2 linked regions of the Astyanax mexicanus genome follow. The protein of the gene in region 1 purifies or fractionates together with the protein of each later gene. This does not show direct contact. Links are inferred from orthologs where the notes say so. Each region holds a gene or a part of one and is shown on either strand. Other genes may lie near its edges.

Evidence for each region. Proteins that work in one complex are often made in the same cells at the same time.
Region 2: the proteins of pop4 (region 1) and rpp14 purify together in Homo sapiens (affinity purification with mass spectrometry; 3 studies listed by BioGRID and IntAct, counting the BioPlex papers as one, with this or other methods). This does not show direct contact. The link is inferred for Astyanax mexicanus from reciprocal best matches to the Homo sapiens genes POP4 and RPP14.

Annotation. Positions count from the first base shown.
Region 1 is NC_064430.1:24,491,428-24,499,215, forward strand, and holds the start of pop4 (ribonuclease P protein subunit p29), read left to right. Parts: upstream 1-4,778; 5' UTR 4,779-4,865; coding exon 4,866-4,872; intron 4,873-5,185; coding exon 5,186-5,238; intron 5,239-5,816; coding exon 5,817-6,040; intron 6,041-7,254; coding exon 7,255-7,332; intron 7,333-7,433; coding exon 7,434-7,495; intron 7,496-7,614; coding exon 7,615-7,716; intron 7,717-7,788. Other genes in the region: shcbp1 (SHC SH2 domain-binding protein 1), read right to left, coding at 869-1,077, 1,930-2,045, 2,307-2,522, 3,686-3,842. UniProt on the Homo sapiens protein: Component of ribonuclease P, a ribonucleoprotein complex that generates mature tRNA molecules by cleaving their 5'-ends.
Region 2 is NC_064431.1:12,208,727-12,216,118, forward strand, and holds the start of rpp14 (ribonuclease P protein subunit p14), read left to right. Parts: upstream 1-4,283; 5' UTR 4,284-4,387; exon of another isoform or gene 4,388-4,482; intron 4,483-6,159; 5' UTR 6,160-6,171; coding exon 6,172-6,248; intron 6,249-6,346; coding exon 6,347-6,431; intron 6,432-6,540; coding exon 6,541-6,617; intron 6,618-7,392. Other genes in the region: rbck1 (ranBP-type and C3HC4-type zinc finger-containing protein 1), read right to left, coding at 2,082-2,118. UniProt on the Homo sapiens protein: Component of ribonuclease P, a ribonucleoprotein complex that generates mature tRNA molecules by cleaving their 5'-ends.

The DNA.
Region 1 (7,788 bases):
CATTACGGTCCGACTCGACGTACAGCCGAGGCAGCCGGCTCAGCAGGAGCCCCGGGGCGTTCAGACTGAGAGTGTGTTCAAACTGATCTCAGAACCAGTCGGATCAGCACAACAACAGCAGCAGCTACTGCAGAACTGTAAACACCCTGCTACTGAAACCCCACCCACTGACCCCACAGCGACCCCGAAACTCGTTAATGTACAATAATGATAATATATATATATTTATTATTTTTTTCTTTTGGAAATAATGTTTTAAAATATAGTCATCATAGCAGCATAATCACAACTGACATTTCCAAATCTGATTATTTCTTCCACAAATATGCAATATTTTTCAAATCATACATTTATGATTGCAACAGCACTACTGAAGTAATTTCATGCTTAGAACAGCACTATTGAGGTAAATGCATGATTAGAATACCATTCTAAGGTAAATTCATGATTAGGACAGCACTACTCAGGTAAATTCAGGATTAGAACAGCACTACTGAGGTAAATTTAGGATTATAATAACACAGTTGAGGAAAAAGTGTTTTGTTGGTATTTATGCCAGGATGTAAAAAAAATAAAAAATAAAAAATAAAAAAAAAAGAAAATAAAAACGTTGGTCAAACATTCAAGAATTTTGATTATTAAAACCTTTTCTAGTTCAATTTAAGCTTCTACCATTCCATTCTTTTTTAGTATAAACTCTAAATATGTTACCACTGGTACAGATTTATATCTTCATCCACTGATTTTAATGTGATTTCTATATGAATTGAAATGGTTACTCCTTATTGCATAACTCCAACCATCTCCATGTGCCTTCCATGTAGAGTGTGTGGTTATGTGTGTGAGTAACTGAGTAAGAGAGCTGAACCTGAGATGTTCCAGAGCGAGAGCTGTCTGGTCGAATTCTCCGGATTCATCATAAACCACATGGAGCTCCTGCAGCGGGACTTTATTCTGCTTGGCCTCCAGTAACGTCTTCACCGAGTCCTCAGTGAGGTCACAACCTCGATACTCGCACTGCAGGGGCTCCACTAGCTCCACCTTCCCCTTCAGCTCCTTATAGTCAACATCCACCACCTGCAGAACACATGAAGACATGCATGAGTGAGTCTGGTGTGAAAGAACTTGACTGGTCTGCACAGTCGAGTCCTGACTTCAACCTGATGGAACACCTCTGGGATGGATTAGAATAGAGACTGATAACCAGAGCTTCCCATCCAACATCAATGTCTGACTTCACGAATGTATTTGTGGAAGAATGAGAAAAAATTCCATAAACACACTCCTAAACCTGTGTAAAGCCTTTCCAGATGAGCTGAAGCTCTTATAGCTGTAAAGGTTGGGCTGAGATCATATTAAACCCTATGGATTAAGAAAAGGATGTCACTCAAGTTCATATAGCTTTAGAAAAAAATAAAAAGACCACTTCAGTTTCTAAATAGGTTTCTCTGATTTTGCTATTTATGTTTAAGTAAAATTAACATTGTTGTTTTATTCTATAAACTACAGACAACATTTCTCCTAAATTCCAAATAAAAATATTGTCATTTAGAGCATTTATTTGGAGAAAATAAGAAATGGCAAAAATAACAAACAAATTGCAGAGCTTTCAGACTTCAAATAATGCAAAGAAAACAATATTCATATACAATGTTCACATTCATAAAGTTTTAAATGTTTAGAAATCAATATTTGGTGGAATAACTCATGTTCTCCTCCACCAGTCTTACACTCTGCTTTTGGATAACTTTATGCTGCTTTACTCCTGGTGCAAAAATTCAAGCAGTTCAGTTTGGTGGTTTGATGGCTTGTGATCATCCATCTTCCTCTTGATTATATTCCAGAGGTTTTCAATTTGGTAAAATCAAAGAAACTAGTCATTTTGTGTAGGTGTGAAAAGGCAGACGAGCAAATACTCTTTGCACTCACTTCAACTAGAACATCAACCATGTCAGTGTGCCACAGCGCCTGCCAATCACATGGCTCCACCACCTTCTCCAGGTAATCCGCAGTGAACTCCTGCACCTCTGAAGGTTTACAGTCGCCTGCAGCAGACAGACAGAGACAGAGATGGGTGAGGAGAGGTTTCAGAGGTCTAATGGAGGTCAAACATTTATATTTTAGATATTTTATATACTTTATATATTATACCTCAGGGAATTTTAATATAATATTTTAAAAAGTATTATATATACTGTATTTATCCATTTGCTGATCTATTCAGTATAGAGATCAGCAGATGTGATTATGAACATAATAAACAGTGACACATCTACAGATGATGAGGTTAATATGCAGCGAGTTACCGAGCATGTAATCCTGATAGGCTTTGAATCTCTCGTAGAAAAGCAGATGGTTGGTTTGGAAGATGTGAGGCAGCCCCGCGCTCCCGAACGCCTCGGCCCGCTGTAAATGTGTGCACAGCTTTTCATCGTTAGACAGCCCATCTGTGCCGCTGTCATCTTCTTCATCGTCATCCTCGTCATCCTCCTCTTCATCGTGCTCGTCATCCTGAAACATCGCTACAGAGGAAAGAGTTCCCATCACTTACAGCGATATATCATCACTATACCTGCGTTTTACCCATAGAAATGTTCACTTTCTGAATGAAATTCTGCAGAATTTTTACTGTTATCCCGCTCTGTGCTTATGGAGACATTATTAAGGATGGATCAATTTGTCAACATAACTGGCCACATAAACAGTCATTTGTAACTGCACTTTGCTACACACAGTACCACAGTTAATGGTTTTATAGTTATGTTTTATTTTTAAGTTTTCATGGTCATAGTTATGTTCATGGCTCATACATGTTTTAACCAATACATTTTCATGATTTTTCAAGGGACATTTTCATGACCATATGATTTTTAAAACATCAGTGCAGACACAAAAACAAAATTGAAGATAGTAGGCCTAAAATGAATCTGATAAAAATGTTGACACTCAATCTTTAATAATAAAATGCGTGTCAGATCCTGAGAGCTCTACTCTATAAGGCTAAATTACTGAATTAACTCTGAGCTGATGTATTTGTAGCTCAAAATAGCTTTTCTCCTTCAATAAACTGAAACATAAAGGATTTGTGGACAAGGTTTTCAGGACTTTTCCAAAACGTTCTAGGTCTTTTTTATTTTTCCAAAACTAATCAATCCTTGGAAATTGCTATTTTTGAATTTCATGACTTTCCCAGGTTTATCATGACCGTATAAAGTGATTTAGTTAGCTAGATAGATAGTTAACTAAGTTAGTTAGTTAGTTAACTAGTGATTTAGTTAGATAGATAGTAACTAGTTAGTTAGTTAACTTGTCAGTTAACTAGTTACCTAGGTAACGTTAGTTAGTCAACTAGTTAGGTAGCTAGTTAGTTTGCTTGTTATTTAAATACTTATTTAGGTAACTTTAGTTAGTTAGTTTGCTAGGTTAGTTAGTTAGTTAGTTCATTAATTAAATAATAACTACTTATTTAGTTAGCTAGGTTAGTTAGTTAGTTAGTTAATTAATCAATCACTTAACGTTACTTATAAGTAAGCTAGCTAACGTTAGTTTGTTAACCTCGTTAGCTGGTAAGTTAGTGCTAGCTAAGTTGTTGTGTTAAACCGCTGGCTGTATCTCTAAGCTGTCTCACTGACACTTCGCTGTACTGCATTAGTTTCTTAGTAAATCAGTAAGTCGGTTCTGGTACCTCTGGGTAAGAGTCTGGGCGCCGGTTTTGGTTCAGGTTCTGGCTCTGGCTCTGGTTCTGGCTCTGGGTCGGTCTGGTCCGGTTGTTGCTGTTGATCATCCACCGGCCGCTGCTCTCCACCCTCAGATACACACACTCCACCGCCCTCAGCCTTCATCTCAAAAACACTCAACTACAATCTAAATACTACAAATAATCAACTAAATATATAAACACGCATATAAACCCGTAACTGTGTAAAAAGTGTGAATTTAAATTAAATAAAAATAACTAAATAACTGAACTCTCCTCACTGCTCGCTTCAAATCAGCTGCATTCAAATCCACCCTGCAAACGCGCGGACAAATAGAAAGTGGCGTCCGGTGACAGCGGACCAATAGAGAGCGGTTTCGCCCAAGAGGGGGCGGGGCTTTTGTAAAAGACGTGGATTTTATAGAAATAAAAAAAATAAAATTAGAAAATTATAAATAAAATTATTAATAAAAGATTGTTTTTGTCTATGTGTATTACCTTGCGATTTTTTTTATTTTTATTTGCTTTAAATATAGTGTAGTTTTGACATTTTTTGTCCAATTTTGCACCATAATTTGATGCAAACAACTTTTTACTAAATGATCTAGATCAGAATAAATAAAATATTTTCTTTGTTTATACATACCTATAATGTTACATAAAATACCTGAAACATATGCTTTTTTATTTTTAAAGGGGACAGACTTTAAAACTCAAAAACTGAAAAAAATGTTTTACTATACACACAAGTTTACACTTCAAAATGTATTAAATAAAAAGATGTTAAATCTCTAATTTGAAATAATTTTGTAGCTTTACGGAGTGGTAAGTATTTTTTATTATTATTATAAAAAGGTTTAATGCCGTTTATAACATTATAGGACATCTACACCTCAGAAAGTCTTTTGTAAAAAACATAAATACATTAGTATACAGAGGTCTAAATAAAAAATGATTTTTATTAACTATAAATTTAGACATTTTAGAAATAATTTTGAGTAATTTATAACATTTATAACCAAAATGTATTTTAAAAAAGGACATAAAACACATGTACTGTAGAAATGACTGAATCAGGGAAGCTGCGGTTGATTACTCAGGTCTCACGTACCGGACTTGGCGATCGGTGATCGGCTTTCAGCACTGGGGGAGCCGGTGTGGATCCAGCATGGCGGGTAAGTGTGGATTATTATTGTATTAATAACATTAATAACAGGTTTATTAAAGCGACGCGCGGTTGTTAGTGAGTGTTGTGTGTTGTAAACCGAGTCTTCCTGCTGAACTGAGTCTAAATAACCAATCCAGGGCTGTTGTTTCCCCAGATAACACTAAACGTTCCTCTAGCATTAGATTTAGGTTCTTTAAGGTTCGTTTTTGTTTTATTTTTTGTTAAAGTCACTGAACACTAAACTATATGTTTTTAACATAATAGCTGAAATGTGTTCCTTTGCCGGTCATTGCTGTTTTTTGTTCTTTTCTTGTTCACAGAAGCAGCGTTTTCCAGTATTCCTCCAGAAGATGGTAAACTTCTAGGAGTTCAGGTGAGAGTTCTTTTCAGGTTCTGACTGATTTGCTCTATTTACAGTAAACCAATAAGTCCAAGCTATTTGAACCGCTATTTATAGGTTTATGTTTGAGTAAAATGAACATTGTTGGACAACATTTCTCCCAAATTCCAAATAAAAATATTGTCATTTAGAGCATTTATTTGCAGAAAATGAGAAATGGTTGAAAAAAACAAAAAAAGATGCAGAGCTTTCTAATCTCAAATAATGCAAAGAAAACAAGTTCATATTCATAAAATTTTAAGAGATCAGTAATCAACATTTGGTGGAAAAACCCTGGGTTTAATCACAGTTTTCGTGCATCTATGCATGTTCTCCTCCACCAGTCTTACATACTGATTTTGGATAACTTTATGACACTCCTGGTGCAAAAATCTAATCAGTTCAGCTTGATTTGATTGCTTGTAATCATCCATCTTCCTCTTGATTATATTCCAGAGGTTTTCAATTTGGTAAAATCAAAGAAACTTATCATTTTTAAGTGGTGTCATATTTTTTCCAGAGCTGTATATAATAAAAAAACAATGTTGGCCTGTGTTGTGTTGTGTGTTCAGTCTCAGCCTGGCACGGCTGCGGAGAAGTTCACCAATGCGTTCCTGAAGAGCAGCCTGCCGCAGCTGAAGGGCGAGGAGATCGAGAGCATGATGCTCCGCCAGGCTGTGATCCTGCAGTACGCCAGACCCAACAGAACCCGGGGAAAGAAGACCAAAGCTAAAGGACTCAACGCTAAAGAACGGCGGGAGCTAAAAGTGTTCCAGCTGAAACCCGAGCATCAGAAGTGTGTACCACATCTCATCACAACATCACACCACATTCCTGCATCAGCAGTGCAGATTAATGCAAAAATCAGGACCCCTCACATGAAGTGACTTGGCTCCAGTCAGGGCTCCAGACTAACTTTATTCTCAACCGTCCCAGAACCATCTCAAACTGAAAATTATCTGTCCCATAACAATACAAAAACAAATACAATAGTAATGTGAAAAATTATATATATTTAGATGTTTATTCTATGTATCTATGTTTACATTTCTATTGTATTTGTGTATTTTACTACCATAATGTCATCAGTTGTTTGGACAGTCTGTTTGAGTTATATATATATTTGTGACTCCTTAATGTCAAGTTATTATATTATACAGAGACACAATTATATTTTATTTTCAGTTAGAAACTTTTTTTCAACTAGTGGAATTATACTTAGAATAAAATTAAAAACACAGTTCCTTACAATATGTCTGCTCATCTTAAAAGTGCAGTTTTGCCATTAGCCAGCAATTGACGCTTTTTCCCCTGATTCATTTTGCCCATTTTGAAGCTCCCAAGTTGACTGACATGGCAATACACCCACCACAATTAAGAAATGTATAGAACACAGTTCCTTAGGATATGTCTGCTTATCTTAAAAGTGCAGTTCTGCCATTAGCCAGCAATTTTGCCACTTTTGAAGCTCCCCAGTTGACTGACATGGCGATCCACCAACCACAATTATTTCTTTAGAGGCTTTCCCCGCTAGTGCCACATTGGCCTTCCTCCTCTTGTGGCTTTTCTAGCAAGCTGATTGTTCGTAAAAAAGAATATACTTTAACATGCTAAGCAATAGGAAAAGTCCCAGTCATACTTCAACCAGCAGGCAGTTTTCTCAAAAACGGCTTGAAACGGCTTTGTCGTCAGGACGCTGGGACTGTGTTAGTCTAGAGCCCTGTGAGTGTAAATAAGTCTCTCTGTAAGGAATTTTGACTCAAGAACACATGATGTTTCCAAACGTTTGCACTTTTAGACTGTATTTAACTAGAAATGTAATGGTTGGGATGTTCAAGAAGTCCCCACTGGTTGATTGCTATGTTGTTGCTAGGTAACTGCTGTAGAAAGGCTTGGTTGCTATGGTGTTCCAAGTGGTCGACAGGTGTTGTTGCAAATTGCTTTGCCATGTATAACTATATTAATAGACTAAAGTAAATATTATAACTATTTCCGGTTCTGATTCTGCAGGTATGAGCTGTTCCTGCCGCTACATGTGCTGTGGAAACAGTACATAATCGATCTGTGTAACGGACTCAAACCTGGCAGGTGATAAATATCAATATATATTTATATATGATAGTTTAAATTCTGATACTGTAAGTCTGGCTCTAATTCCTGCAGTGTTTAATCTGTAACATCTACCACAGCAACCCACAGACCATCCAGCAGAAGCTCCTGAAGGCTGATTTCCACGGTGCAGTTTTAACAGGTTAGTGGACGCTCCTCAACTCTACACTCTACAGCTCTCTCAGATTCTGATCAAATATCATCAATATATACGGGAGGATTACCCAACATTTATTTGTGTTTCATTATTTTGTCTTGCAGTGGTCCGATCAAAATGTCCATCTTATGTTGGGACCACTGGAATCCTGGTGCAGGAGCTGAAGCACGTCTTTAAGATCATCACCAAAGAAGACAGACTGAAAAGTAAGACAATACTCCAGTGCTGTGGTCTTCCAGATCCACAATGTCCCAGTCCAAAAAAAATATGTTTCTCTA
Region 2 (7,392 bases), on another chromosome or scaffold:
ATTCTCCACACTTCACAGCGACTATGCTACTGAGAAAAAAAACTTCTAACTAAGTAAATAGCAGGTGTCAGTTTCACACAATTTAAATACTAATGTTCTTCACCACATGTTTACCCTGTTCATTTGATTGAGCAGTAACTGTAGTATGTCAAATTTGGGGTTGAGTTGAGAGCATTTATACATACATATACTCAAAATTATTGATTTGCTTTTTGTCACACTTCAGACTTGTGTTTGGTAATGGCAAAAGGGAAAAGAAATTCAAGCAAAAGTTTTATAATTCAAAAGGTATCACCTATCTGTAGACTTTGCTTGCTATCCAACTTGATTCTATCAATAATGGAACTGTGACACAAAAGGTCACTGGACAAATAACTTTCAATCATTTTTTTACTTAAAATGTAAAAACTGAACATAAAGCTTTTTGTTTGATGCTGTTTTGCTCGAGTGGAGATTTTGCCTCGAGTGTAGAAAGAGGTGGTTTTGGGGGCGGAGTCAGGATCACCTCCCTCAGCGAATGCTATTGGCTGATATCTCCAGGCTTTGTTACTGTCTGCCTACTACCGGCAGCCTTCAGAAACAAACACAGCAGGAGAGTTAAGAGAGCTATGCTGAAACCCAAACTTTGTATTTATCTAAATAATAATACTAATAATCCGAGTTACACATACAATATATATTATTAGGCTAAGCCGATCCTGGCACTGTTAACACAGCATCAGCGTCCTCCAATCTATGGGGCTGTTAGCCCGGATTCAGGGCCTGAAATGAGCCGATCTCCAGGGCTTGTATCGCGGCTTCAGTGCCTGAACCAAGTCGATCTCCGGGGCTTGTGGAAAAGAGGCTTCAGTACCTGGAACGAGCTGATCTCCGGGGCTTGTATTGTGGCTTCAGTGCCTGAAACGAGCTTGTGTAGCTAGCGGACTCTACAGCGCCCCCTAATTTGATTGGTAAAGAAATCAGCTGTGGTTGTGTAAAAAATGTTCTAATCTTCCCAATTTTTGGTAGAAATGTAGACACTAAGACCCTGCACAAATTTGTTTGTATTAGATCCGCCCAACAGGAAATTTGTTTAAACATTTTTCAAGAACTCATTTAAACTACTCCTAAAGTCTTCATCAGATAATGATGAAAATGCTTGAATTGCCACAGTCAATAAGACCTCAACATTACTTTCACCGGTTTCTCGGTTTGGCCCGGTACGATTTGCGCTGTTGTGTGAGGGCCCTTTATCCCTTCGTGACAGGGGGGCCCCTCAATACTATTATTATTTAGATAAATCCAAAGCTTAGCTTTTAGCATAGCTAGCTAACTCTCCTGCTGTCTATGTTTTTAAAAAAGTGGCAAAACTATGTTGCATCTGGGGGCAAAAAGAGCCGGCTCTTCGTGAGCAAACTCCTCTTGGATTACGAGAAAGAACCGGAATTTGCGTGAGCAAAGCCTTTTTTATTTTACGCTCTATATTTTTTTAAGCGAACTTATTTAGTCAGATAGTTATTTTTTTATAAAGTAAATGCAGTTACAATTTCTAGCATTGTAAGCACTTGCTCAAAAGTTCCAGCACTTTCCAGGCCTGGAAAACAGAACGTTAAAATTCAAGCACCCATACAAACCCTGAATATTTTTATAATGGAAGCCCAATGTCTGTTCTGAATAATGAAAAGTTCGTTTCACTGTAAAATAGTGTAATAGTATTATTATGCTAGTATATAATTACTGTGGCACATTGTCTTAAAGCACCTTTAGGAGCCCAAAGCAGGAAAAAGCATTTTCTATAGTGGCGCTTTAAAAGGACAATATTATCGTTTATCGCAATCATTTCTGAGACAATACATTGCCCTAAAAATGTTGTTATCGTGACAGGCCTAGATCAACGATATGTTATCTAAAAAATATTACAAGTAATTTTGGAGCATTTCTATTGGTCTCCTCATCATATGACATTGGCATTCAATACATTGGTTTCTGCTTTCTTTAATTCAAGTCTGTATTTTCAGTACATCTTAACCTAACTGACGTACAGTATTACCAAACTAAGGACAAGCTTATATTTCCTGATACTGTGAATTCCTCCCCTGTACCTTTTTTCATGTTTCTCTGGTCATAGGGCATCGCCATATCTTGACCTGGATGCAAAAAAAAAAGTTTAAGTTAAAAAAAGATGTTTTATTTATTAGTTATATGTTTTAAAGTAATATTCCAACTTCTTATTTAACTTCAAATGATATATCAGGCTTTTTTAACAATTTCTTTTTTCACATTATTCTGGACTTTCAAAATATCATGAACATATAAATATTTCATGTGTGAAAAGGTAAAAAAAAAAAAAATGGGGCACACAGTCAATGGGCTATGCCTGTGAGGAAAGAACTCCAGTATTTTACTTAGTTCCACTTTGGCTGTACATATACTTCCTTTTTTAATATGTTTGATTTTATTGTGTTGTATTGTTTTAGCACCTGGACTGCTTTAGAGATAAAAAAAAATCTAAAGTAATATTTTATTTTTATTGTAATGTATTGTAATTTGCAGTGGTAGACAGTAGCAGAGTAAAATATATATACTTTACTGTTTTTCATATCTGCAATTTTTACTTTTTACTTTAACTCACAACATTTCAAACTCAAATATTTAGATTTTTACTCCAATACATTATGGAGAAAAAAAAAAGTTTTACTTGCATCCAATGTTTTGTGATATTTTATGGTCACTTTAAAAGTACATCACAATAAAATAAGTCTAATTAATGAGTCTTTCTAAAAAGATTAATAATGTCAACCAAGGGTATTACTGGAGTCTTTTAATATAAAATGACCTGATTCTGATCCAAAAGCGATAAAAGCACATTAAAGCCATTAAATCCGGGTACTTTTACTAATAGTGCTTTTGTGATATTTTATGATAATTTTAACAGCAATCACTGCAATTAGACTAATAAATAAAATCCTATGAAAAGATTAAAAATTGTGAAACAAGTGTATGGCTGGAGTCTTTCTATCTAAAATGAGTTGATTAATCAGATTGAGGGTTCAGTTCTAAAAAAAGAATTTATAAGATATTGGAGCCATAATAAATCATGGTGTTTAGTGCTTTTGTAAGCACATTTTAAGGAAAATAACATGTGTGTACTTTTACTTTAATGTAGGCATAGAGAGGTCTTTTCCTTTTACTAGAGTAACGTCTGCAGTACTTTAGCAGTTGTTTGAACATATAGCTAGCTTTCTACTTCTGTTTGAGTCATTTCTGGGCCAAAACAACTCTTTGATTTTGATGTGGTTTAGCTGGTTTAATCTGCTGTGTCTTCCTCGGACTGACCCTGAAAGCTCAGCACTGCTCATCTAGTTAATACCCTGTAAAAAAAAACAGCATTTACAGCAGAATATCAGCAAATAAACCACCAGAACAAAGCACGTACCTTCGGAGGAACCCCTCTGACTTTCAGTTCGACCATTAAAGTGTGTGAAACCGGTGGAAGCGGGTGTTTTTGGCGTAGTTTACAGCAGCGCTGAACGAAAAGTGAAAGAAAGAAGAGTTGAGGAGGAAGTGAAGTCGAGATGTGGAGGCTCCCGCTGATCCCAGCCTTCAGGCCTCAGAGTCCAGGCTAAGATAACTTAGCACAGCTAGCCTAGCCCGGGTCAGCTAGTTAACTAATCAGCGTCGTACATAAAAACAGTGGGAAAAAATACTAATGCACCAGATGATTTATAGAATAAGTCAACAAAAACAAAATTGTACAGTTCACCTGGGTTCCAGCACCCACGGGTATTTAGGGGAATGAGGAAGCAGATGAGTTTGCAAAAGAAGCACTGAAATCAGAGCAAGTAGAAGTTAAAGGTTTTACTGAGCAAATCAGAATTAAAAAAAGTAATAAAAGACGGTGTTCATAAAATCTGGCAAAACAAATGGGATACGGAGGAGAACAGCAGGAATTTATATAGTATACAACAAGAGGTAAAAGGAAAATCCATTCACTCACGACAGGAGGAAACCTGATCAACCAGCCTAAGAATAGGGCTTACAGCACTAAATAGTGGTTTACACATTAAAGGAAAACATGACACCGGAATATGTTCATACTGTAATGAAACTGAAACCGTAATTTACGTACTGCTTACATGTAGGCAGTACTCTAACGGAGAGAACGTCTTGAGACGGTAACAAAGAACTCAATTGAAAAAACTTATTAGGTCAAGGTGGTACAGAGCATACTGTATATATTTTTGTAATCCCAATGTAATCAAACATCAGACCAGTAGATGGCGGTAATGCACTAAGATTGCAAGCTGCCAAAAATCAACCACGAAGAAGAAATCCGCTCTTGAAAACATTAGAAGCTACAGGAGTCACATGGCGATAAGGACGTGCTGCGTGAGACTGTCTTTAGTCGGTAAATAGCTGTATTTAGTATTGTAATATTCGTACATTTAAAAGTGCACTACGGTTAGTTTTGAATGAGTCTCTTCAGTGGAGTTTCCAAAGGATGTAAGTTTTACTGGATAGCAACATTAGCCTAGCTAACTAACTTAGATATGTTCTTACTTAACCTACACCTGTTATATAGTTAGCTGTTAGTTATCTAGCTAGCCAGATATAACTCAATTACTCTAGCTATCTGTTTCAAGTCATAATAACCTATCGAATGTATATACTGATGATAGATAGGGGTTGGGTTTGTTGGTTTAATTTGGAGAACTGGCCCTGTCCGTTATTAGATGCACTTGATTGCGTCTACATATGGTTTATTATTAGAGGTGGCTAACCCGGATCCAGAAAGTAAAAATCCATCCCTGGGTTTCATACTTTTTAAACTTTTAAACTTTTACTTTCTGGACCCGGGTTTACCACCTTTACTTTTTATAATGCAGTGTTTGAGTCAGTGGACTTAAAGTCTCTCTAATTGATGCTCTGTTCAAATATTTGTAATATTGTATATGGTAAGCATTTAATAAAAGTGTACAAATCATAACAGAAAATACGTTAAGATTCTGAGTATATGCTGAGTAGGGCTGTGCAAAAATCAGAATTTCAGAATTCAATTTAATTCAGTGAATGATTAAATGAATGAATGAATGAATGAATGAATCTACCTACCCACCCATCCATTTCTCAGTGCCTCATTTTAAATATCCGTGCTCTCAGAATTCTACCAGTGAAGTGTGGAGCTACTTTGAGCTTCTTAAGAGTGTAAAATTAACTATTTCTTTACATGGGCAGCACTAAGCCCTTATAACTAGCATTGTAAGCCTGTAGAAAGCATACATTCTCTTAATGTTGAATACTTTCAAAATTAAGATATTGCTAAATTAGTCACATACAACAATGTTACAATTTATTAAAGTAATTTAAAGGGTAATGCTATTGCATCTTATGGTCAACAGTTCCTCAAATAGCCTTAATGTTTGGACAATGGTTAAAGACAATGGTTAAAAAAAGGAAAAAAACAATATTCTGGGAAATTAAGTGCTGTCCTATCATTTTCCACAGTTTGAAAGTTGGTACAGTTTTAATAATTTGTGTTATAGAGGGTTTTTATTGTTTTGTGCTCATACCATAATATCTGTGTGAAATTAATATACACCTTAATTTTGCATTATACATTAATTTGAATTTCGTGTAATTCTAATTCTACATCCTGCAGTTCGAATTTGAAGTAGCTGGTTCCTGTTTGCAATCTCAATTCCAATTGAATAATTTAATTTGAATTTGGGTGTCATTCTTCATTTTATTTTTTAATATTGTACAACCCTGGTGTTGAGTTAACATGTTGTGGGACAAAAAAAAAAAATAATCTTAAATGTCTTTATGCCATTTTTCATTTTTATTATTGATTAAGCAAATACACAATTTATACGTAGTATAGGTGTGCAATAAGACAATAAGTTTTGACTACTGCCATTGCTTAAATTCAGAACAACTGCAACTGTTAAATTACAAAGAGAGTAATTAGTCCTGTATTTAATTGACTTAGAGTACAGCAGATTTAAATAAATTCAGAATATTGTGTATTGTGAACAAATGTCTTTCCGTATTAGGAAATATATTTTTTTTGTTTTGTTTTTTTCAACCATTTTTTACCATATCGTCATATTTTACCATTCAGAATTCAGTTTTAACACAAAATTATTTTTCGCTCTCAATGTTTGTTTCCTGTTCTAACAGCATTCAGATATTATGGAGAAGAAACCTACACCTTATGAGCGTGTTGTGTGCAAAAACACCTCTCTGTATCATTATATGAAGATCAACTTGTAAGTAAACTCCTTTCTAAAAAAAAAAAGAAAAAAAAAATATATATATATATACTATGAATAATAGACAGCCCTATTTTTTTTGTATGCATAAACAGAGTTTTTGACAGTAGAAACAAAAGTCTGAGTGCAGAACAGTTCAAGCAGTTGATCATCACTGGACTGAAAGACCTGTATGGGGAGGTAGGGATAAAATACTGACCTATGTTATGAGACCTCCACATTATAATTAAGTTAGTGTCGGAGTTGTGTAGATTGTGGTTGTGTAGAAATATGTTGTAATGTGTTACAGGTTGGAGCTGCGTTCCCTTTTGACGTGCTGACGTTCAACCAGACTGAGCTGTCTGCCATTCTTCGTGTGTACCACAGGTATTTAATCCATGCAAAAGCTTAGTTTTGCTTTTAATAAACACTTATTTACCAATTTGTCATTCGTTCTTTATTACAGCGCACCACGTTGACTTTATCTCCCCTCAAACATAAAAGTATATTCTAGTAATTTAATTGACACCACTAAAATAAATATAATTGCATTACAAAAACTTGCATTTTAAGAAAACAAGTGTGATTAATCACAGTTAATTACAGAATAGTGTTGTGATTAATCATGTTAAATTTTTAATAAATTGACACCACTAGTCAAAACGCTTAAAATTATAAAGGTGTCTGAGTGCTGGGGAGCATAGTGCAGAACAGTGTTCACACAGAGATTCACTATTAGAGCTGTAAAGAGTTACCGACTCATACTGACACATGGATGGTTATGGGTTTAAGGCAATGTGTCATAAAGGCTAGTGTAAGTGTACCATCAATTTTTTTACCATATATAGTAGAAATAATGCATGTTCTCAAACCTGAACAGACTGTTATGACTTTGAGTCAGTTTCCAATAAACAGATTAATCCTAGGTTTTGACTGTAGTATCAGTGGTGATTAGGCATTGAAAAGCCTATTAAGTGTAGGATTAAGCTCTGAATCTGGGTCCCGATCCCAAAGTTAAATGGACCACATTTTTTGGTTGTTTTCTAGTGCAACCCTGGTCCTAGAGATGTATCTCTGTCTCTCTCTCTCTTAAAACCCCTAACACAGTTAAGGCAATGAATTTGTGAATTACAGTATAATTAATAAGTATAATTAAGTATGT